Caenorhabditis elegans: one gene and its partners. The protein of the gene in region 3 interacts with the protein of the main gene of each other region in a biochemical or structural test. Each region holds a gene or a part of one and is shown on either strand. Other genes may lie near its edges.

Region 1 (5,681 bases), on a different chromosome or scaffold from region 3:
CAGGTATAAACTACTTTTTTTTGAATTATACTTACTTAAGTGTATTCATTTTTAGATTGGATACGAAAAACGGGAAATTTGTACTTCTCAAAAATTCAGAGAATGAGGAAGAGAAAAACGACAAAAAGAATAAGAAAAAGGTTTTTTGCAATCGTTTTTTGTTCCACAAAAATTTACATTTAAATTTTTTGCAGAAGGACGAGAATAAATCAGAAAAGAAGAATAGCGGAGAATCAGAAGACGTTGAAGAAGCCAAAAAAACATTTTCTGGACAATTCCGTCCGTTTGGGGTTCTTGAGCCGGCTGCTGCAAAGGACGCTCGAAAAATTTATAGAAATTCTATTCAGGTATTGAAAATCTCAGGAATTTAATTTCAAATCCATTTTTCAGACGATTCTCGACCTTGTATCCACCCAACAATCAATTCTTGCCAAATCCCGCCAACTTGTTGAGGATTGTTAAATTGCATGATTCTGTGATAAATATGTATTCAATCAATATAAAAACAAAACTCTCGATTTATTTCAGCGTTCGCCCGCAATAGCGGAACTTACGAGTAGAGATTTTCAGAGAAAATGATGGATTTCAGCAAGAAATACATGAACATGAAAAGACACGAAAGTTAAATATATTATAAGATTTATAGATCCTGAAAACAGGTGCAATCAGTTCTATTTGAAAAAAAAAAGAATCCCTGAGAGTGCAATTTGAGGAGGTAGGTGGTAGTATGGTTTAGAGGGGAAATTTGAGTAAAACAATTGAAAAAAAAACATCAAAATTTGAATAAAAAAAGAGTTAGTGTGTAAGTTAAAGTAACGCATGCAAACTGAGAATTAGATGAGACAGAAAATGAAATAAATATTGGTTTCAAAATAAAATACATTTCAAAAGCTGAAAAACTATCAGAAAGCTCAAAATTATTTCCTAAAATTTTCACATTTAAATTTGGATGTTCAAGAATTTCGAGACAAAATCTATTTGAGACCATATATTCCATTATTTCTCTATCAATATTCTCAGTGTCTAGATGATTCTATTCATCAGAGGAATTACTATTCTTTTCTCTAATATCATCGTCAGATGTAGTCGGTGATGATTTTTCAGCTGCCATTCTCGCAGCTTCTGCTTCCTCTGCGGCAACTTGTTCCGGTCGATGCTTTCGTCGTCTTTCAGGACAGATTGAGCTCACGTGCTCCTCGGATCCACAGGTATAACACACTTTTGCATCGGTTTTTACGTTTGGACAACTTTTCGCCTTGTGAGTCGCAAACTTTCCACATCTGAAGCAACGTAGTGAGACAGCCTTCTTACGACCCAATGGATGAATTCGGCTTCCTTTCAGTCCTTGTCCTTCTACTTCTCCTGATACCTGAAAACTGTATAAAATTGAGTTGGATTTTCAATTTACATTATTATTTTGCTTTAATATTGCACTGGAACAAAAAACTGAGAATGCGCATTGACAACATATCCTGTAGCGAAAACTACAGTAATTTTTTTAATACTACTGTAATTAGCGCTAGTGCCGATTTACGATCTCGAATGAAATTCTTTTCGAATAGTGACAGCGATATTTCTTTTTTATTCTTCGTGTTTTTTTTGCCCCTAAATCGACACAGCTACAATAGTCATTAAAATGATTACTGTAGTTGTCGCTACGAGATATTTTGCGCGTCAAATATGTTGTGCAATACGCATTCTCAGAATTTCGGATTCCCGTATCTCAATAAATTGCGCAAAAATACCATAAGCAAAGTTTCTCTCGCATTCAAAATATAGGTTAAAGCAGCGTTTTTTTTTAGTTTTTAAATATTATTTTTCAAAAATACTGACAAAGATTAAAGAGAATTCGTAAGAACTAATATACTTTCTAATTGACAGAATAGGAAAAGCTTTTATGAATTATGCTTGATTTTTGTCAGGTTTTTTTGATGAAAAAACAAATTTAAAGAACGCTGACCTTTTTTTTAACTTTTGCTGTTAGAAAAAATAAAAATAAAACGAACCGCATAAGCTTCTCTACCTTTTCCATTCGATCGCTCTTGAATGTAGTATGATACACGTTCTCCTTCATCAAGACTCCGAAATCCTTGCATATTGAGATTAGACTGATGAACGAATAGATCTTCACCGGTGATGTCATCGATCACAAAACCATATCCTTTCGACACATTAAACCATTTGCATGAGCCAAAGTATCGAGGTGTTGGTGACTGAAAAAATTAAATTATTTGAAAGGCATTATGACGCAGTTATTAATTGACATCTTCTTTATATAAATTTTTTAATTTACTGAGTTTTCAGTAATATTTCCTCATTTTAACACCATAAATAATCCACTCTCAAAGTATTTAGGTAACTAAATATTTTTTTTAAATTGCTAAACCGTTAAGATATTTTTAATTAAAGCTCTTCTCGTCGCTCCGACTTTTATTTATAAATTACTTTTTTTCCGGTTTTACCCCGAATCGTCACTGGAAATTCGAGACTATTTACAATCGAATCAATAAATAAACAGTGATATTTTTTCAGTTGCAATTTCAATTAGTTACATACCAATTGAGATTTGATGGGCACCGGATTCTCCAAAGCGGCTTCAATCATTGTTCTAATTAGAACTATGTGTTAACTAGAGAATACAACCTATCAAATATACAGAACAACAATACCACACATACAAATAATAATAGTAATGGGTGAGAGAGAGCACAGAGAAAAAAAGAGTGGCGAGGAAACCCAGAGATTCGAGGAAAGGATGAGTGAGCGGTGGAGGAACTGAATTAGAGATCATTTGAAATGTGGAGTGTTCACAGAGAAACCGACAGGAGGGCATTGGGCGAGGAGCTGTGTGCGCGACACTTCTTCTTCTCAGCTGACCTCTCTCTATTTCTCTGAATCTCTGTTTTTATTCCGCGCGGAAGTGTTAGAAAGGAGAGAGATACCGTATACCAAATAATGATTTACGGATGATGGAAGAATGAAATGCACCTGCAGTTAATGGGAAATCGACTCAAACATCTTATGAACATTCTATATCTTTTGTAAGAATGCGTAATTCTAAGAAAACAAGTTTCTACAATTAAAAAAAAAATTTCAAAGTCAGAGTAATTCCAAAATTGTTTGAAACTATCTGTACTATGCTTAAATGGTCGATTATCATCATAAAAAGTGTAACAATGCTAGAAATTTCTCAATAAGATCAAAATTTTAGGAAATGTACCAAATCCTTAACTGACATTTTCGAAATATCAAAAAAAATATTTGGAGTCTTCAACTAAAAACTGTTACAAAAATATTTACCGAAAATTTCTGAAAATCTAAAAATTGGAACACCAGAAACCAAAATAAAACTGTTTCTGGGTTTCGATAGATTCAGTAAGGTTTGATTGAATTGTCAAAGTTAATTTTAGAGTCATTTGCGAAAATGTTTTATAATTAACTATGCTTAAAAATTGAGAATTAAAACTTGGCTTAAACGAAAAATTTTCGGAAATTAGATAATTTTATAATTCTAAACAAAAAACTAAAAACTTACCGGGAGCCTCTCGAAGGAAGGAACTCTCATGTTCTCAGTAAGCCTATTGTCAACTACATCTGGCAGCCTATCTTCAACTTCATCTTGTGGTGAATATCGGTTATTCCCATCATTCCTTCCCTCCGATACTACCGTCGACATCCTGAAAAAGATTTTTAAAATTTTTTTTTGAGAATCGTCACGTATTTAAATAAAGTAATATACATATATGTAGTTCAGTACTTAATTGTGAGATTTTTAATTAAAAGCATTGCTGAACTTCCGATGATGAAATTAAAATTATAGAAAGAAACTATAAATTCAAATAGAAGCAAGATTGGAAAATGTCAAAACTGAACAAACGGATGATGTTGGCACCGCGCCAATCATCTATTGTCCTCAACACAGCGCGCTTGCAGTAGCGTCCATCAACACCCGGTAGCACAGAAACTAGATGGGTTTGTTCATGATACTCAGTCTGGAAACATATATTGGCTACTATCTCGAAAACCGTCACAAAGTCGATTTTGCGATGCATATAAGAAATGACCGCAATGAAATTATCTATCTTTATTTGTGATGAATGTTTGATTTTGTACTTCCCTGCCAAGTTATGCATGTTTGTTCGGTGGAGCGCGTTTGCACCCATCTAGCAACTGAACCACCGTGAACAACTATTTCTACACCATACTAAAAGAAAAATGAACGGAAATAGTATGATAAAAATGGAGAAATGCAGAGAAAAAGAGATGAAAAATGGACGGCATCGGATGGACGAAGGGTCAGGCGCCAGGACAAAAAGTGATCATTGAAAGTGGGGAGAGTGGTAGAGATAAAGAGAAATTATACAAGGGGAGCAGGGCGCCGGAGGGCGATATATCGGAAAAAAGGAATCACTTATTCAGTATCAATAGGAGATGGAAAAGAAATTGGAAAAAGAAATGAGCATGGAACAGTATTTTTTTTTTTTTTGGAACAGTAATTTTATTTCACCTCTACATCTGCATTTGGTTTTTCCAAATTATTCCAAAAGTCCAAATTTCGATTTGAACTAATGTATTATCAGGTTGTTTCCAAGTTAGAAAAAAAGAAATATCAATTTCCAGCTATTCATATTTCTTTCTATAAGACTTGATTAAACCACCCATATTGGATTAAACGTGATGCAGGTGATCTTAGGTGCAGAGGAGAGAATTGTCGAATAAGAAAATGAATTGAAAATTGAATGATATTTAACCGCCGCAAAAAAAGAACTGACAAGCAGATAAGAACGGTGAGAAGAGATGAAGAGAAGCAGAATTTTCAATTTCTTTCTCACCTTCGTTGCAAAGAGGCTTTGAAGTGATGGAATGGAGATAAAAATGAGATGATCTGATATAATCAACAGTTGGTGGATATCTGGTGGCAACGAATGTTTTATGTTATTTTTTCGACGGGAAAGAGATGAGATTCAGAGGTTTTTGATGATTGGTATCTTTTTGATTTCATAGTGCAAAAGATTTTCTGCGGAATCGAAAATAACTTAAAAATTAAAAAAAAAGCTTTTATCAATGATTTTCTAGCTTTTGAAAAATTTAAGTTATAATTAAATACTGGTTTCAAAACCCAGAAACCAAAAGAAAAACGAATATTTTAAATAGTGTTGAAACCGAAACACAAACGCCTTGCACACATCATTTTCTTGTCTCTTCGTTTGTGCCCCGTTTCCTCTCTATTCTTGTTTTCTTTGTATTTCTTCATCTCACACGCTATTTTTCAATGCCAAGGTTTTTTCAACAGAAAAGCGCTCCGAGATGTGATCGGACAGACAGGAATGCTGGATGGGTTTTATGGCAGTAGATATCGAGAAATGTCTTGGTGAGACTTTCGGATAAATATTTCACAATGAAAACACAAATAAATCTTAAATTCAATTAAATAAAACATGTTTGAAATGGAGAAAATCAAGCTCAGAATAAAATTTTCAAAAAGTGAACCATATGCGCTGCGAGACCCAAAGCAAGTGAATTGTTGTGTGCCTTTAAAACTACCGTAACCTGGAAGTTTCAATTATCGATTTGTTTTTTAGAATAATTGTTTATTTTGATTGATTTCTCGTATTCACATTCATTTTTTAAATATATCTCCGATTTTTTTCAATCTTCACACTCTCAATTTCACATCATAG
Region 2 (4,975 bases), on a different chromosome or scaffold from region 3:
GAAATGCATTTTATAAAACCTAAAATAGACGAAATCTGGTATAATTGCTTCTTTTTCGTGTTGTTCAGATCTGAATTTTGTGCGATATTTTGCTCGACGAGCTCATTTCTTTGTTGCTCAACAATCAAACGATCCATTACATCCGTCTCATAGCACTTCCAGATCTTGTGCACAGTGGTACAAATCTCATCTTCAGTGGCTCTTCGATCAATTTTATCGGTGCGTTTGGTCTCGCCACGAATAGAATTTGCATCAATTTTGATATATTCTGCATCTCTGATTCTAGAATTACACCTTGTCAGATGAATCTCTAGATCTGCCTTCAGAATCGTATGTTTTCCATCATTCGGGCAAACCATACGATCAGTGTTATTCTGATCGTGAATTGAATGCTCTCCACAGAACCGATTTCCCTTTTTCACCAGCATCTTACACCGTCGCTTCTTAATTGGTAGAATATATTCACAGCAAGCGTTCTGCTGTTGTTGCTGCTTCACCGAATCCAATTCCATTTTGAAAACGAGACCTGCGTGCGAGATATTTGTGATTTTCCTAAAGTTTATTGCTATAGTTGAATTGGTGTGTCTCAAAAGTATTATACATATCACAACACAGTAAAACGTGGTTCGTAAGACTATACGGGTTGGTTGTCGCAAAAAAAGAAATGGAAGGGCACAAGTAAAGTAGTCTATTCAACAAGAAGAATACCAAAAATATTGATTAATATAAGTGAAATTGTTGTTTAAAACGGGAGTTGTAAGGCGACCAGATACATTGTGTGTGGTTGGAATTTTTTGAAGTTTAGAAATCTACAAAAGAGAAAAAAGGTGCAATAAATATCTGAAATTTGGAATGTCAAATCAATCAAACACTTTAAAGAGGATAAAAGTAGAGAAAGGAGGCGAATTGGGTGAGGGGATCAAGGAAAAACATATACTTTTAACTAAAAAGTACACGCTCAGCAAAACTGAACAGAATCTAGCGGGGAGGCGAAAACAGAAACAAACAAGAGAATCAATTTTAAAATTTCTAAAAACATTAATTTAATCCTCGAGGTTTCTGAAAGCGTTAGCCATAGCCTCTGCCAAATCTTCGTAATCCTTGCGAATCTTGGCTTCACCATCGGCAACTGGATCCTTGAATTTCATGGCAGAAAGCTGGTAGATCAAATCTCCCATGCTATCCTTGATGACGTTCCATGTGATCTTGTTATCAGATTGAGCAGTTGCTTCAACAGCATGACGGGCCAAGTCATAGAATCCAATCATATTCTTGAGCATACCGACAGTCTTGTAGAATGGGCAGAAACGATCGTATTTGGTGTATCCGTTCTGTTGCAAGAAATCGTCCTTGATGATCTTGGCAACCTCAAGTGTGACCTTGTCTGATTCGGCGAGGGAAGCTTTTCCGACGAGTTGCACAATTTCGGAAAGATCTTCTTCTTCCTGGAGGATCTCCTTGCACTTGGTACGGAGTGAGACGAACTCTGGGTAGTTCTTCTCGTAGAACTCCTCAAGAGCACGCATGTACTCGGAGTAGGAAATAAGCCAGTTAATAGATGGGAAATGTTTACGTTGAGCAAGCTTCTTGTCAAGTCCCCAGAACACCTGTACGATACCGAGGGTGGCGGATGTGACTGGATCGGCGAAATCTCCTCCTGGTGGTGATACGGCTCCGACAATGGTGACGGATCCTTCACGTTCTGGAGATCCGAGACACTTAACACGTCCGGCACGTTCGTAGAAGGAAGCGAGACGAGCGGCAAGGTAAGCTGGGTATCCGGAATCGGCGGGCATTTCTCCGAGACGTCCTGAAAAGAAAATTTGAAAATGTTCAGAGAAATTTCAAAAATATTAAGAAAAAAATATGAATTTCAAATATGAGTATATTTTAAACGGATTAAAACTCACCAGAAATCTCACGAAGAGCTTCGGCCCAACGAGAGGTAGAGTCAGCCATCATGGCAACGTTGAGACCCATGTCACGGAAATATTCGGCAAGGGTGATACCAGTGTAGATGGAAGCTTCACGAGCAGCGACAGGCATGTTGGAAGTGTTGGCGACAAGAGCTGTACGCTTCATGATGGAAGTGGTGACACCTTCGACCTCCATGGTGAGCTCTGGGAAATCACGGAGTACCTGAAAAACAGAAAAAATTAGAATTGTAAAAAATAGGGGCAAAATTGTTAATTTATAATTTAAATGCGGGACAAAACATTGGAAAAAGTAAGAAACATAAACCTTTTAATTTTTAATTGTTTTCTAAATTTTATTCTTAAACGAAACTATTCTGACTAAACTTTTTCACAATTTTTTTTTGAAAAATTAAAACTATTGATTCCAAAAACGAAATTATGGAAAGGCTTTCTTGTTTATTTGATTTTTTCTAATGTTTTTAAAATTATTTTCAAAAAAATTACCTCAGACATTTCGTTTCCACGCTCTCCGCATCCGACGTAAATAATAGCATCAGAGTTGGAGTATTTGGAGAGAGATTGGGAAATGACAGTCTTTCCACATCCGAAAGCTCCTGGAATGGCGGTGGTTCCTCCTTGGACACATGGGAACAAGGCGTCGAGAACACGCTGTCCGCAGAGAAGTGGATTGTTGGCAGCGAGCTTCTCTGTGACTGGTCTTGGAGATCTGACAGGCCAGATTTGGAGCATAGAGAATTTCTGCTTGCGTCCGGCGAATTCGAGCTCGAGAAGGGTGTCCTCAACTGTGTATTGCCCGGATGGAGCAACGAAGGTGATGGTTCCGCATGCACTTGGTGGTAGAAGAATCTTGTGCTTGATGAGCAAGTTCTCATCGACGGTTCCAATGATGTCACCTCCGGTCACGTGTCCTCCAACACGGAGATCCTTGGACACAACGAAGTCCCAGCGAGCTTCACGAGAAAGAGCATTAGTGGAGACTCCCTTTGGAATGTAGATGGATTGAGTAATATCAGCAATATCCTTGAGTGGACGCTGAATTCCGTCGAAAATCGATCCCATGATACCTGGTCCAAGTTCGACGGAAAGTGGTTTACCGGTACGAAGTACTGGATCTCCGATTGTGACTCCAGATGTTTCCTCGTATACTTGAATAGTGGCGTAGTCACCCTCGAGACGAATAATCTCTCCGACGAGCTCTTGATGTCCTACACGAACCAACTCGTACATAGCCGATCCAGCCATCTTCTCGGCTGTGACGACAGGTCCGGACACTCCGTAAACGAATCCGTACGAAGATTCTGCGGCCATCTTTTCCTGGAATGAATGAATTTAGAAAGCTATATGGAAATCGAAAAGAAAATCAAAATAAACCTCGTTTTTCAACAAGAAGACCGAAAAGACAATGGAATTTTTAGGTTTAGAAGTAGGAAAACTCATTAATTCGAGCAATAATGCAAAATATAAAATACAAAGAATAGATATAAAGTGGCAGGGCAATGTTTAATCGGATAAACTTGAACCCTTATAAATATTCAACGAGAATTGGAATATAAATCAATTTATCATTCAATTTACAAGAACTTTTGTAAAGGAAAAAATCAAAGTAAAGGTAAACGAGACAAAAAAACGAGTAATTCCTGTGACTAAACGGGGGGAGAGAGATGTGGTAAAAAAGCTCACAGAAGTTGTTGGAAAAAGCGGAAGATGTGGAAGAGAGCGCACTGCACGGCATTCTACAACGAATAGAAGTGGTTCGATTGACAAGGAGAAACGTCGGCAGGCTAGCGAGAGACAGCGCGCCGAGAGCAGAGAGCAGATAGAGAGAGCGTGGCCGTGGCGGTCGCAAAAACCAGGAACCGCCGGTCGTGCGACTAGAAATCATCGCCGCGTTGCAGCTTCGCCCTATTGAACCGAGAATTTTATACAGCGAGGAGTGAATGTGAGAGAGTGAATTTTGTGTGGCAGAAGTTGTGTAGGTTTACGTCTATCTAGGTAGCGGGGAGAAAAGGTTACACGTCTGTCATCAAGCGAAATTTGATAAACTAATGTGGAAGCGAAGTTACTCTATTAGATAGGAAAAATATGATTTGCGAGGTTTGAGCGGAAAATTTATGTTCGTTTGGAACTATTTTCAAGTTATTCGCCTTAACAATTGGACCACAGTATCATTATAACAATAGTTGTTTTCTAAATTTCGATTAAATAGATACGAAAAAAAAGAAAAATTATATCCGCAAACTCTGAAAAAAAAGTTAAACCAATATTTCCATACAGTAATCTCTTCAAAGGCACAGGACGCTCAAAAACGAAAGGTCTCGCAACGAAAATGTAATTTTCTCCCCAATTTGCTCATTCAGTTATTTAGAATTACGTAGTCGTTAGAATTCTTGAAGGTTTAGACGATGAGACAAAAAAAAAGATGAAAAGTGATTGATCTGTGGTTGTGATAAGAAATTGAGACCGCGACGCATTACGCGTTGCACTTCAAAACATTCCTTTTCCGCTCATAAACACCCGCATTTACAATTAAAATTACAAATTACTATAGGTGAAAAGCCATATTTAATTATACAATCGAAATTACTTGCTACTTCCAGCTCTTGGTGCAGTGACTTTGAAACAATAAATGCCCATATGGTCGCAAATTTGGCGCGTTATGAATAAACAGTAGACTAAAAGTGATGCATAAACGTAAACAGTCGTGTACTTCAGAAGAGTTGGCTCATTGATTTTGATGTCGTAGTATTGATTGATCATCAATGCGATTGGCCCCATGTAGATCCAATCCCAAAGTGAGAGCTCACTTCTGCTCATGTGTGCAACAATCAGACGATTTGTGGCTTTTGCCGCAACGGCTCCAAATTGAAGAACAAATATAACAATAAGATCATCATAGACGCCAGATGCCGATTTGCTGTAGATCATACAATATGGAACAATGACTGCAAGAAGTGGGCAGGCTGGGAAGAGAACTGATGTTCCAGCAACAGTTGATCCATTCTTTCCAACACCATCTGTGAAGATGACTGATAAGTAGC
Region 3 (7,820 bases):
TTAAATTCAGCCTTTAATTTTTGTGCACATATTCTTAATCTGTAGTACTCACTAGGGAATTGTCAGAAGCTTGCATATCATATATGTGCGAAATTTTATATTAGCTTGTTTCCTTCTTTAATTGTTGATTATTTTTCACCTTTGTTTTGTTAACACCTTGTTTTCTTTTATCTATGTATACCAATCACACACACACAAACATACGGCGAGAAAAGCAACTATAATAATCTATAAATATATAATTATAATAACAAGCTATATAAATCTCAACATATATAAAACTTATTGGGTGCGCGGAGAGGAGGAATCGAAGAAAAACGAGGGAAATATAATAAACGTACAAGAGTATTTTGGAAGATAGCGGGAAATTTGAAAAAATTGAAATTTTGGAAAATGGGGTTTCAAGTAAATTTGTGTTGCTGAAAACTCGAAAAATCCATTTTCCAATATTATTTACTGGAATTTCGAAAATTTTCAAATTCCTATTAGAAAGCTCGAATGGAATGGGCTATGAGAAAGATCTTTGCTGACCAGAATCGGGATATCACGGCGAAAAAAGAATGCAATTTGAGATGATGGGCGGGAAATGATGGGGGGGACCTACAAAATTTTATACATAATTGGCCAAATGTTCCGAACTTTAAAAGGCCGGGAGGCATTCCGGCACGGGGAGAGATGGGAATGCTATTCGTTAATTCAAATATTAGATTTTTTGTGGCGAAAAAATAGGTTAAAATTAATCGAAATTGATTCCCGGCAAAAATGAATATGGTACGGTAGGTTGGTGGGGTTGGGGTGATGATCTATGAAACTATTTTGTTGATAGAAGCATAGTACATACATATATACTGGGCACAACAACTAATCAAATTCAAAACGAGTTATTAAAATTATTATGCGTTCGAGACACAAACGTCATAATTTTAGATTATCGTAGAGAAATGGAAATGTGTGAAAATGGGAAGAGAAATGATAGAATGATAAAGTGAAATGAGTATAGGATAACAATATACACATGGTTTTAAACTAATTGGGCGAAAGAGAACTGGGGGAGAAGATACAGACAATTATCAATTGGGCAATGAATCACGAGTGAATTTTAGACGGCAGAGTTTCGTGCTTCCGGCCAAAAGTAGAACTTTTTGAGCAGGCGGGATGTCATCTGAAATTTAATTTAAATTTTGGGGAAAAATCTAAAACCGATACCCTTGTTTTCAAGCCGCACAGAAAAAGAGGCGGAGCGTCGTTTTGCAAACTTGCCGCGCGCCAACCGTGTAATACTCGTGGACAACTTTGAATTAATTTTTTAAATGAGTTAACAATTTTTGGCTTAAATGCTTGATGTTGATGTATTTTCGCTATTTTTTTTTACATTTAAAAATCGATAAATTTCGTTGAAAAACTACAAATTTTCGTTTTCAGTAAAATCCAATGGCTAATAAACATTTTTTACTGGAAACCCGATAAATAGTGACTATTTCAAAATTTAACGCAAAAAAATTAGCATAAAATATTCAAAATCAATCATTTTAGCTAAAAACTAAAATTCTAGGTTGACGCGCGGCAGGCTTGCAAAAGGACGCTCTGCCTATTTTTCTGTGCCTTAAAAAGTTAGCAGATCGATTGTTGTTCAAGTACCTCTGGCATCTGTTTCAAAATATTCGATCCCTGTGATGTCTGAAATCCACAAGCGACCTTCTTATTGACTTCAGTCAGCAGCTCAACAACATCCATATCCTTTGCGTGTGTCGAGAACACTTCACAGACGGCTTGAATGAACCATGATCCACGAGCACTGTTTCTCCACGAAACATATTGAGCTGTCGTTGCGTATGCAATCAGAATGTCAGCTTGGCTCGGCTTCTTTCTCCACACTTGCTGCAAAAATTTATTAATTATCATTTAAAAATGTTTACAGGACGGGGCTTTCGCTCCAAAGAATATAAAATAATCGGAATATTTTTCGAAAAAATTGAAAAAATCAATTTTTAATTTTCGAAAAGGCGATTTTTAAATTCCCTCTAAACTGAAAACTGCGACCAATCAGCAATTCACTCCGCCCACTTTCAAACCAATCCGATGAAGTGGGCGGAGATCGACGATGCTGATTGGTTTGTCATTTTATCACAAATTTCGTAATTATATCGCAATTTTTTCGTCGGACTTTCTGGAATAAAAATCTATTTTAGATTTTTTGAAGGAATATTCTCATTCAAGAAATTAAATTGCAACCTGAACTTGCGGCCGCACACATCCAAGAAAATTGAACAATGGCCCGTCTCGATTGTCCCATCCACGACGAAGAAATGCAGGAACTCCGTCGACAGAATCCAAGACTGGGAATCCATTGTCACGACGTTCTGAAAATGAATTTATTTAAAATATTTATATTAAAATTAAAATAAAAAACGAACCGCCTCGACAAGCCTGCACAAAAACGATTTTCGGCTTATTCGCCAGACGGGGAGCATTTGCCGCGTTGAGAAGATCATATATCTCGTGTGTACTAATCGGTATATCATCAACTCCAATAATCACATTCTCTTCTCCGTGTGATAGAATCACGAGTATCGCAGAATCTCCGTGTGATTCGTGTTTGGCAAAGTCTCGAATTGTCAGGAGCATTCCCTGGAAATTAAATATCAGTTTACATTAGGAACAAGGCTGGGAAATTTTTTGGGTTTCTTTTGGTATTTTGACGAAAAATTGATTTTTTGGTTTTTGGGACCAAAAAACCAAAAAAAAAATCGAAATTCGACTTTTTTTTTGAATTTTTTGGCTTTTCGAAGATTTCAATTTTACTTTTTGGTGATTAGGAAGGTTTATTGTCCAATGGTGCAATTTTTGCGACAAAAACTACGGTACCTGGTCTCGACACGACAAATTTTTGGTCAATGCAAATGGGGTGTGCGCCTTTAAGGAGTACTGTAATTTCAAACTCTCGTTGCTGTGGATATTTTTAAAATCGATTTTTCATTCTCTTTTTCTCGATTTGTTAAAAAAAATTTTGAAAAATCTAGAAAAAATGTTATAAAACTTTTCTAAATCCTTCATGATTTTTTCAAATTTTGCAAAAATAAACAAATCGGATGAATAACTTTTGAATTTGAATTGTGACGTTGTTTTGATTTTTATTGCTTTTCCGGAGTGGTTTTTAAAGTTTTTAAAAATACATTTCATATTGAAACACCGTTTGCCAATTTTCACAAATTTTAAATTGTGCATTTTTGGATAATTTTGAAAATTCAGAAAATTGATTTCGTGCTATCAAGTTTTGTATGCGGAAAATTGTCTGAAAATTTACAAACGGTTTTTTACATCAAATATTATAGAAAAACTAAGAAAAAACACATAATGTAGCCGGAAAAAACGAAAATTTCGAAACTAGGTAAATCATTTTCGCGGAAGTTCAAAATTTTGTTTTTTGCAAAATTATACATTTTTGCATTTAACACAAATTGTCGTGTCGAGACCGGGCGCCACATTTTCGGCGCAAAAATGGCAAAAATTTCGCGTTTGGGTAATATAATTTCGCCGTACCCTTCCCGTCAGATTGTCCTTGCAAATAACCGTATAGCCCATGCATCTGAACAAATTGGTAAGATTGTCCTTGTCGGCCTTGGTACCATTCCGTGTTGGCATCTGCTCAAAGTGTTCATTATTTATGATGAGGCACATTCCACGAGGACTCGAGAAGTTTCTGTACATGGTTTTCTCGTCGAAAACACGGCTTATGGTTGGTGCATCGACAAAGTTCATATCCTCTTCATGGAATATGTATTGAGTTGGTCCAGAAGCTTTGCTGAATGAGCGATTACGACTTGAACTGTATCCGAGAGAAGAGCATCCGGTGAATGAAGAGTTGGCGGATGCTGAAATGTGTTGGTTTTAGGATCGATTTTGATACCCAAATTTCCTCTTTTTTGACGTTTCGCACATTTTAATTTCGCAATGTTTCATTCAATTATATCCTCTAGAAATTTTGATTTCCCTTTTAATTTTCTACATTCATGTGATGTAGAAAAATGCAAAAATGTATTTTAATGCATTTTTTCAATTTTCGCAGAATTTTTGATTTTTTTCAGGTGTTTCGCACATATTTTTGCTGACTTTCATTCAAGATATGCTTATTAACATCTATAATTATCAATAAAGGTAATATCTTGAAGAAATTTTGGTTTTCGCTCTAATATTCTCTACTTTTTAAGTTGCTCAACGAAAAAATAATGGGGTTAATCATGTGATGTTGAAAAATACAAAAAATGTATTTTAATACATTTTCCCCCTATTCATTTGTGCAGAAAAGTGTAAAAAAACGCATGCATTTTTTACATTATTCGACATTTTTTTACATCGACCGACATCCCATTTCACATGCTGAAGACGAGAGACGCAGAAAGATGTGTGGTATTTCTCCGCGTCTCTCGTCTTCAGCATGTGAAGTGAGCTGTCGTTCGATGTAAAAAATGTCGAAAAATGCATGCGCTTTTTTACATTTTTCTGCACACATGAATAGGGGAAAATATATAAAAAATGCATTTTTCGTCATCATATGAACAACCACATGATTTTTTCGTTGAGCAATTTCAAAAGTAGAGCATACTAGAACGAAAACCAAAATTTCTACAAGATATTCACATTAATGATAATTATATGTGTTAATAAGCATATCTTGAATGAAAAAAATCAAAAAATCTGCGAAACTTGAAAAAAGCGTTTTGGCACATGTTAGATGATTTTTTTTCAAAATGTTTAAAATTCTTTTCAAAATATCTTGAAGCGAAAACTACTGTAACTCTTTAAAAGAGTACTGTAGCGCTGGTGTCTGTTTACGGAAATAATTTATTAATTGATCAAAAATATCAAAAGAAAACACAAAAATGACAAATTAAAATTCGTTGTCACAATTCGAGCATATATTCGTTTCGAAAATCGAGCCCGTAAATCGACACTACAATAGTCATTTAAAGGGTTACTGTATTTTTCGCTACGAGATATTTTGCGCGTCAAATATGTTGAGTAATGCGCATTCTCAGAATTTAGTGTTCGCATCAACATACAAGGTTGGCTGGGAAATGCGTTGACTGGAGGAGATGAATAATTGTGTCGATCCGATGAATGAAGTGCACGCGATCGAGAACGAGATCTTGCTCTTGAGTAGATATCCTGATAAGAAGTGAATGATGACACTGAAGAGACGCTGTCACGGTGAACTCGGGTCGGTGAAGTGTAGCCGGCGGGGCTCAATGCGCGGCTCCGACGATGGCTTGCCGGTGACATTGGACACTCGAATTCGACAGCATTCGAGTCAACACTGGAAAAAAGGGATATTTGAAGGAGATGTGTGTGTGTGTGTGTGACAAGTATTTTCGGCAAATCTACAAAATGGCCTTTTGCGCCACGAAAATTAGTGTTAAAAAATAAATAATCACTCGAGCTTTCAGTAAATAAAATATATTTCACTTCAAATATTTGGGAAAGTGCATAATTTCCGATTTTCGGAGGAAAAAACCGTGCCGGTGGGTTGCAAAATTACGATCCGCCTCTTTTTCCGTGAGACCCTTGCTTTTGCGCCGAACTTTAAAAACCTACGATCTGGCGAGAGGTTCAAGAACTTCAGCAAGTCCTTCGTGTCCCGTAGAGCGAAGAGCATCATAAAACGCGTCGAACGCCACATCTCCCCGTCGTTGCACTGCTTTCACGATCTCCCGTCTCTTCTCGCGAACCGTTCCACATGACTGCAAAAATATTCTTTATATTATCAATTTTTTTTTAAAATTATTATTCGATTAAAAACTCACATTAATCATATCTCCATTATCACTATTCAACACTTGTTTTGCGATGAGAACTTCGAGAATTTCATCGACTTTTAGATGACTAGAGAACATCATAATGTTCCTCTCTAGCAAGCTCCTTCTATCTTGACGCATCATCTTCGGCTGATGGTTGACCTCTCTACTGACCCGTAGTCAGAGTACGATTTGATTTTCGATTTAGTCTGAAAATGAGTGAAATTATTGGAAAAATAGTGTTTTTTTTTAAACATTGTCCTCAAAATTCAGCTCGATTTGAGTAATTTTTATCGATTTTTTTCCTAGTTTTCGTCAAAAACTCCAACAACTGCACTGAACTACGAAAAAAAAGGTGAAAGTCAGTAAAATCGGAAAATTTTGACCCTCTTGAATTTTTTATCTTGATTTCTGGCGAATTTTGGGGTTTTTTTTTGTTAAAATTGTTTTGAATCAGTTCTCTTTTATTTTCGCAAACATAAAACACAATTTTCAATGAGAAATCGTTATTTTTAATTTGAAAACTGATTTTTAAAATGTTTGTTGTGTTTTTGTTTCTGTTTGTCAGCCTGGAAAATATTAGAAAACTGATTTTAAAAATTTTAACAGAAAAATTCACGAAAATTTTAGTAATTGAATTAAAAATGCAAGGAGAATTTAAAAGTCTATCAAACTTTTTGCGTGCCGAGACCCATTGGAATAAATCCGTGCGCCTTTAAAGAGGAATGCCAAAATCTTGTGAAATTATTACGGAAACACAAAATTCAGAGAATGCGTATTACGCATCATATTTGGCGCGCAAAATATCTCGTAGCTAGAACTACAGTAATCCTTTAAATGACTACCGTAGCGCTTGTGACGATTTACGGGTTGTCAAAATTCGAAAAAAAAAATTATTTTCAAAAATTGAGCCCGTAAATCGACACAAGCGCTACAGTAGTCATTTAAAGAATTACTGTAGTTTTCGCTACGAGATATTTTGCGCGTCAAATATGTTGCGCAGTACGCATTCTCAGAATTTTGTGATTCCTTAATACGATAATGTCGAGCCGATTTAAAAGACTTTACCATTTTTTGTAGTTTTCGGTGCTATTATGATAATTTTACGATAAATTAATACTCAAAAATCGGAATTTTAGCGGAAATATTATAAAAATAAGATGTTAGCACACGAAGAGAAAGTGCTGCGAAGAAATCATAAACATTGAGAAGATATTCTTATGGATTGTATATATTGCGTAACAATTTGGAGAAAGTTTTTGGCCGGTTTATTGCAAATTTCGCGGAAAAAAAAGTTTATGATGGGCTCGTAAGCATGCCGATGAGAAAAGAAAGTGGATTGTAGCAGCAGCAATATGAGTCACCCATCTGGACAGTTCACATTTCTAAACGATAATTGAGACGGAGCAGGTGGCATCACGGAAGAGTGTACCGAAAACAAAACCGGGACAAGTTGAGGATACCAAGGACGACAGGAAAATGATGAAATGTGGTACAAAATGAACCGGGCGTTTACCCTGAAAGCTCCTGATCTCATCTAAGATTCCAACCCCGTCATTTGCCTCCATGCACAAATATAATGCGATTTGGATTGTTTAAAGCATTGAAATTGCGACAAAGAGCTATAAAATCGAAAAGAGCATACCAAATGAGATACACACTGCTTTCCTAAGTGGGTTTCGAAGAACACCGCCAAAGAGGTGATGGAGTGGTGGGGCTAAGGAAGAAGGTGCCGGAGAGGTCAAACATGTGGAAATCTTAGGATTGTTTTTGTTTCACATTAATTGCCCTCGTAAATTTATTTTTGGATTTGAGTATCGAAAATCTATGAGCCATGAACACGGAGCGGTGAGGTAAAGGTAAAGGTTTAAAAGTAGTTTTATTAGTAAACTAATCGTTTTTCACATAAACAGTGGTTTTTTTAAACGAAACAATGCAAAAACCAAGGTTAAATATTATAAAATCGACTTCGAGAATCTCAGAATCTTTCTGGCAACAATAAATCGGCGAGCCTTTTCTTCAATTGAT
Region 4 (5,974 bases), on a different chromosome or scaffold from region 3:
TTTAAAAATTAATCACGCGAAAAAGTATATTTCCTACGTAAAGTTTATAATATTCGGTTCAATTACTTCATCATAAAATATTCAGTTCTTCGTTTTTTATCACTCAATACAAGCTAATTGAAAAGGTGAATTTATTGGATTTATTTTTCTTTCCTAATTTTTTCTAACTTGCAGCTGAATCCACTTCGATAATGTCAGAAGCACCGAAGAGAAGCGAAAAATCTGCTGATTATAAAAAAGCGGTGGCAAAACAGCGACGCATTAAGAAACTTCGCAAAATGAAGATTAAAGATAGAGCTGGTGACGTGGTTGTCAGTGATATTTCTGACGTTGAAGTTGTTGGAAATGGTGATGAAGAATCACAGGATGATTGGTTGAATGATCTTCTGAAGAGTGATGGTGATGGTGGAAAAGCCGGACCGGTTGATCCTTCGCATCCAATGGAAACCACAACAACTGATCATTCTTCACAAAACACTCTGGCATCAAAGATCTGTGCATTCACTTATGATAACTCGGTAAATTTGGATTTAGCTTTCATTTGAGTATACTCCAATCAGTTTATTTTAAAGGCTCTTCTTGGCGTTGGAATCGTCACGGTGGCCCTCAGTATCTTCGCCCGTCTTCGTAAATGATCAATAAATGAACAAGAATAAATAGTTGTGTCTTTTCATGGAAATAAGAATCAATTACAAAAAAACGAAAACGAAACAAAACAATATCTACTCATACATAAAAACAATCTCATGGAGGTTGTGATGACTACTATGGGAAAATTGGGAATGAACTGAAGTATTTAGAAAATGTTTTTCACTTCTCTAATGAATTTTCAAAATACTTCAATTCAGTATACATTACATTACAGTTTGTTGAAAATGAGTATTTACTACAGGTTTTGAAGAGAAAATAGTTTTCCAATGAAACATTTATTTGCTCTTTGCGAATACTTCCTTCATTCTGTTGAGGGCAGATCCGGCCTTGAACCACTCGATTTGTTGCTCGTTGAAGGTGTGATTCAAGGTCACTTCCACCTTTGATCCATTGGTCTTCTTGAAAATAGCCGTAAGTGGCTTTCCTGGAGCAAAACTGGAGAGTCCGACGATAGAAACATTGTCTGATGGATCGATTTTGTCGTAGTCAGCTGGGTTGGCAAATGTGAGTGGGAGCATTCCTTGTTTCTTCAAGTTCGTCTCTGAAAAAAATAAGTTATGGCGCGTTGAGGAAATAAGCAAGGTAAATTTTATTTATTTTGAAGACTAACTGACCGTGAATACGGGCGAAGGATTTCACGATGATAGCTCTTCCTCCAAGATGACGTGGCTCAAGAGCAGCATGTTCGCGAGATGAACCCTCTCCGTAGTTCTCGTCTCCGATAGCAACCCATCTAACTCCATCAGCCTTGTATTTGCGGGCAGTGGCTGGAACGGCTCCATATTCTCCAGTAACTTGGTTCTTGACCTTGTTCATCTCTCCGTTGTCAGCATTGATAGCCGTAAGGAAAAGATTATTCGAAATGTTGTCCAAATGTCCACGATATTTGAGCCATGGTCCAGCAGCAGAAATGTGATCAGTAGTACATTTTCCGGTAACCTTGATGAGGATCTTCATATCTTCGAGGTCCTTTCCATCCCACTTGTCGAATGGAGACAAAAGTTGAAGACGATCAGAAGATGGAGATACATCAACCTGTCCGCTTCCAGATGGGGCTTGGAATGTGTCCTCTCCTGGATCGTAACCCTTTGGTGGAAGGTCGAGTCCAGTTGGAGCCTGGAGTTTGAATTTGCTTCCTGAAATGATAAACGAGGTTGAGTAATGAAAAAATATAACTATTCAAAATGTTACTAACCATCAGCGGCGGTGAGCTCATCAGTAAGTGGATTGAAGTCAAGACGTCCGGAGATGGCCATAGCAGTTGTGATATCTGGAGAAGTAACGAAACCGTGAGTGGCTGGGTTCGCATCATTTCTTCCGGTGAAGTTACGGTTGTATGATGTGACAATTGTGTTTTTTTCTCCCTTCTTCACATCCTGACGATCCCATTGTCCAATACATGGTCCACAGGCATTTGCGAGAACCATTCCTCCGAAATCAGCGAAAATCTTGGAGAGTCCGTCTCTTTCAATAGTGGCACGGACTTGCTCGGATCCTGGGGTGATGGTGAAAATGGTCTTAGCCTTGAGTCCCTTATCAAGAGCTTGTTTGGCAATGGAAGCAGCACGGGTCATGTCTTCGTATGAAGAGTTGGTGCATGATCCGATAAGTGAGACCTTTACATCGAGTGGCCATCCGTTCTTCTTGGCGTTTTCTCCAAGTTTGTCGATGGAAGAGGCAAGATCTGGAGTGAATGGTCCGTTGACATGTGGAGTAAGAGTGTCGAGGTTGATCTCGATGATTTGATCATAGTTAGCTCCATCGTCAGCAGTGAGGAGATCTTTGTACTTTCTGGCTTCTTCGGCGATTTCTTTACGTCCAGTAGCTTCCAGATACTTGTACATGCTCTCGTTGTATGGGAAGACAGATGTCGTAGCTCCGATTTCGGCTCCCATGTTGCAGATGGTTCCCATTCCAGTTGCAGAAATAGAATCCACTCCTGGGCCGAAATACTCAACAATAGCTCCAGTTCCTCCTTTGACAGTGAGGATATCAGCAACCTTCAAGATAACGTCCTTGGCAGAAGTCCATCCGTTGAGCTTTCCAGTGAGTTTGATTCCAATGACCTTCGGGCACTTGAGCTCCCATGGAATATCAGCCATAACATCTACAGCATCGGCTCCACCAACTCCAATACAAAGTCCTCCAAGTCCTCCTCCGTTAGGTGTGTGAGAATCAGTTCCGATGAGAAGAAGTCCTGGGAAAGCGTAGTTCTCAAGAATGATTTGATGGATAATTCCAGATCCTGGCTTCCAGAATCCAACTCCATATTTGCTTCCAGCAGTAGCAAGGAAGTTGAAGACTTCTTTGTTGAGGTCCTAGAAATCGAAATATATTTAGGGTGAAGAAAATTTAAGTAAAATAATTTTTTCGCAAATATCACAAACCTTAGCACGGGCCAAATCTTGGGCTCCACCCTTTTGAGCTTCAATCAAATGATCGCAATGAATAGTTGATGGAACAGCTGTCTTTGGAAGTCCGGAGCTGATGAATTGGAGCATAGCCATTTGAGCGGTAGCATCTTGCATAGCAACACGATCTGGACGAAGACGAAGGTATGAAACTCCTCTCTCAATATCTTGAGTTTTTGGTTGATCCAAATGTCCATAGAGAATCTTTTCGGAAAGCGTCAATGGACGTTTCAATCTGAAACAATATATTTTTTGTTTTTATCAGTAGAAAAACTAAAATCTATTTTTAAAGTTTTTAGTTAGACTTAACGATGTTTCCTTCATGAGTTCAAAGTACTGTCACACGGCAAATATCACCTCGGCTTCAAAGTTCGACCAGTCTGGAGACTAGAGAATGTGGTCCACATGAATTTCTATGCAACGTTCAACTAGATAATTTTCATAATTTCTATTGTGACATCACAATTAATGACACCAGAAATTAGATTTTGCATCATCAAAAGTTGAAAAGAATAGTGATGTACACTTATGAAACTGTATTATGGTCAAAACGCCCTCTCACAACATGTTGACATTAATCAGAGAACAGAGATGGAAAAGATTCGACGTTTTCTTGGTTCTCTCAATGACGCTCTAACCCATCTTCTTATTACAACGGAACTCTGTTTGTTTCTCTCTGCGACCCTTGGCTTGTGACTGCGATTTGGGTGAGCTTTCACTATTCGAGAGTTAGAAATAACATAAAAGAACCTATAACTGAACTGTATGTGTTGTAATGTCAGTGGCGCACATGACTATTCACCATAAACATCATTAATTGTATGATAACGAACAGAAAGCAGTGAAGATACTTTGTACTTGACAAGCTAAACAAATTGAACTTTACACACCTGTCTTTCACAATCTTCACAGTCTGAGATAGTTTCTCGTACGGGAGGTACGACTTCGGCTCGAATTTACTGATTGCAACTTTGCTCTGAAAACAAAAGATTTATAATAATTATGCTTAGGTTTGAATACCCAGATGGACGAAGAGGAGTGAAGTGCGCGATAATGTGCAGGTCCAGCCAAGTGGCTCAACCGAAGAAGAGAATTCATGGTTTCTCCTGTAAATTACAGAACAATGAAAGATTTTCACAGAAATTCCTGTCCGACAAAGGGAAAGAAATAGAACCTATTTAAAAAAATTAAAAGAAAGGATAATATTCATAAACACAGGCCTAAAACTTAATTTGGAACAATTAAAAAGCTTTTCTCTGCAGTAAATAACCCCTCGGAACGAAAACAAGTGATTCCGCAGCGAACCGAAAAGAAAATGATAACGCATCGGTCAGCAGAGACGGCGTGCATGCCGAAAATGAATGGGAGGAGAAATGAAAGCGCGAAACTTGGGCGCCTCCGGTCAGCAAACACGCCATTGAATGATCACTGGCGCTATGCTCGTTTGAAGGCGCATGGGGTTTCGACAGACTTTGAGTCTCGCAACGATTTTATTCACTAACCTATTTGTAGGACTTTTAGCATCATTCCTTCGTGTTTCACTCCTGAAAAGATGGTTGCCGACGTCAAGAGCCCAGCTGGACTTGCTGCTTTCAACACTACTCTCGCCGAGCAGGCTTTTGCCACTGGGTTAGTCTTTAAATTCTGAAGTTATGCAATTTTTAGGAAAAAATGCAGAAAATAGGTGTAATCAACTCTTGTAAATTTTTCAGATAGTCTATTCATTGAAATAATTTGAAAATTATAGCTTCGTCTTGTCTGGAGAGGACGCCCAACTTTTCGCCGCTCTCGGATCCGCCCCAAACGCCTCCACCTATCCAAATGTTGCCCGTTGGTACGCTAATGTAGCTTCTTACACTGATGCTGAGCGCAAGACCTGGGCTTCCGCCGGAGGATCAGCTCCAGCTGCCGCTGCTGCTGATGGAGATGACTTCGATCTTTTCGGATCCGACGATGAGGAGGAAGATGCCGAGAAGGCAAAGATCGTTGAGGAGCGTCTCGCCGCTTACGCCGAGAAGAAGGCCAAGAAGGCTGGACCAATTGCTAAATCTTCAGTCATTCTTGATGTAAAGCCATGGGACGATGAGACCGACCTCGGAGAGATGGAGAAGCTCGTTCGTTCTATCGAGATGGACGGACTTGTCTGGGGAGGAGCTAAGCTTATCCCAATTGGATACGGTTAGTGGATTGAAATTCACACAATTAAAATTTATGTAAACTTTCAGGAATCAAGAAGCTCCAGATCATCACTGTTATCGAGGATCTCAAGGTTTCGGTTGATGACCTCATCGAGAAGATCACCGGAGACTTCGAGGATCACGTCCAATCCGTCGACATTGTCGCCTTCAACAAGATCTAGAGGAATCTTTATATTTCTTGTTATGTTTTCATCAAGATAAATGAACCCATATATTGCAAAAAATGTTACAACATTGAAAGAAACACTCTGAGCATCAATAAGAAATCCTCCCGACTACGAAAGCGAAAAAAATTGTTTTTTAAAGAACTATGATTAAATTAGAAGCACAGTTCATTCTCTTCTGAAAATCGTATGAAGTCTCATAATTGCACAAAGTTACGATATAAGAATAATTGGAAGGGGTAGACTGAAGTGGGCAGGGTCACCACTATACAGTCCAGATTCCCGTTCGCAACGAGACCATATATTTTTACCTTGTGGGAAAACCAATCGATGTTTTCTAATAGTAAGTAGACCCCGCATGCTGTTCATCTCGAGATCTCTTCTCCCCATTTTGTATTTCCAGTTATTCAAAAAAATGTCACCTTTTCGTTTATTATCACTTCCTACACTTGCTTTGAAGAATGTACTTCTTCATATAGACTTTATTGATTTGTAAGTTAATACTTTATATAATAAGACAAACACCTTGAATTCAGGTTGGAACTATCAC

Evidence for each region.
Region 1: of the proteins of ced-3 (region 3) and lin-28, one has a biochemical effect on the other in vitro, tested with the Caenorhabditis elegans proteins (2 studies listed by BioGRID).
Region 2: of the proteins of ced-3 (region 3) and vha-13, one has a biochemical effect on the other in vitro, tested with the Caenorhabditis elegans proteins (one study listed by BioGRID).
Region 4: of the proteins of ced-3 (region 3) and aco-2, one has a biochemical effect on the other in vitro, tested with the Caenorhabditis elegans proteins (one study listed by BioGRID).

The regions. Positions count from the first base shown.
Region 1 is NC_003279.8:8,407,128-8,412,808, forward strand, and holds lin-28 (Protein lin-28), read right to left. Parts: upstream 3,678-5,681; 5' UTR 3,677-3,677; coding exon 3,536-3,676; intron 2,794-3,535; exon of another isoform or gene 2,605-2,793; coding exon of another isoform or gene 2,557-2,604; intron 2,214-2,556; coding exon 2,007-2,213; intron 1,370-2,006; coding exon 1,034-1,369; 3' UTR 505-1,033; downstream 1-504. Other genes in the region: F02E9.1 (Vacuolar ATPase assembly protein VMA22), read left to right, coding at 1-3, 56-140, 195-347, 391-462. UniProt on the Caenorhabditis elegans protein: Heterochronic protein which controls the choice of stage specific cell fates. Regulates the timing of the second larval stage events (L2 events) in the hypodermis.
Region 2 is NC_003283.11:14,349,987-14,354,961, reverse strand, and holds vha-13 (V-type proton ATPase catalytic subunit A), read right to left. Parts: upstream 3,254-4,975; 5' UTR 3,246-3,253; coding exon 2,421-3,245; intron 2,140-2,420; coding exon 1,911-2,139; intron 1,811-1,910; coding exon 1,044-1,810; 3' UTR 540-1,043; downstream 1-539. Other genes in the region: Y49A3A.3 (tRNA:m(4)X modification enzyme TRM13), read right to left, coding at 20-512; cept-2 (diacylglycerol cholinephosphotransferase), read right to left, coding at 4,518-4,975. UniProt on the Caenorhabditis elegans protein: Catalytic subunit of the V1 complex of vacuolar(H+)-ATPase (V-ATPase), a multisubunit enzyme composed of a peripheral complex (V1) that hydrolyzes ATP and a membrane integral complex (V0) that translocates protons.
Region 3 is NC_003282.8:13,198,131-13,205,950, forward strand, and holds ced-3 (Cell death protein 3 subunit p17), read right to left. Parts: upstream 6,008-7,820; 5' UTR 5,937-6,007; coding exon 5,802-5,936; intron 5,739-5,801; coding exon 5,593-5,738; intron 5,315-5,592; coding exon 5,061-5,314; intron 3,873-5,060; coding exon 3,541-3,872; intron 2,629-3,540; coding exon 2,415-2,628; intron 2,361-2,414; coding exon 2,233-2,360; intron 2,160-2,232; exon of another isoform or gene 2,010-2,159; intron 1,879-2,009; coding exon 1,639-1,878; intron 1,163-1,638; coding exon 1,100-1,162; 3' UTR 131-1,099; downstream 1-130.
Region 4 is NC_003281.10:7,971,911-7,977,884, reverse strand, and holds aco-2 (putative aconitate hydratase, mitochondrial), read right to left. Parts: upstream 4,169-5,974; 5' UTR 4,161-4,168; coding exon 4,083-4,160; intron 4,045-4,082; exon of another isoform or gene 4,039-4,044; coding exon 3,953-4,038; intron 3,298-3,952; coding exon 3,039-3,297; intron 2,970-3,038; coding exon 1,847-2,969; intron 1,788-1,846; coding exon 1,266-1,787; intron 1,193-1,265; coding exon 927-1,192; 3' UTR 636-926; coding exon of another isoform or gene 573-635; 3' UTR 530-572; downstream 1-529. Other genes in the region: C06G4.4 (uncharacterized protein), read left to right, coding at 192-518, 573-635; eef-1B.1 (putative elongation factor 1-beta/1-delta 1), read left to right, coding at 4,615-4,691, 4,810-5,240, 5,288-5,421; F54H12.5 (uncharacterized protein), read left to right, coding at 5,783-5,916, 5,961-5,974. UniProt on the Caenorhabditis elegans protein: Catalyzes the isomerization of citrate to isocitrate via cis-aconitate.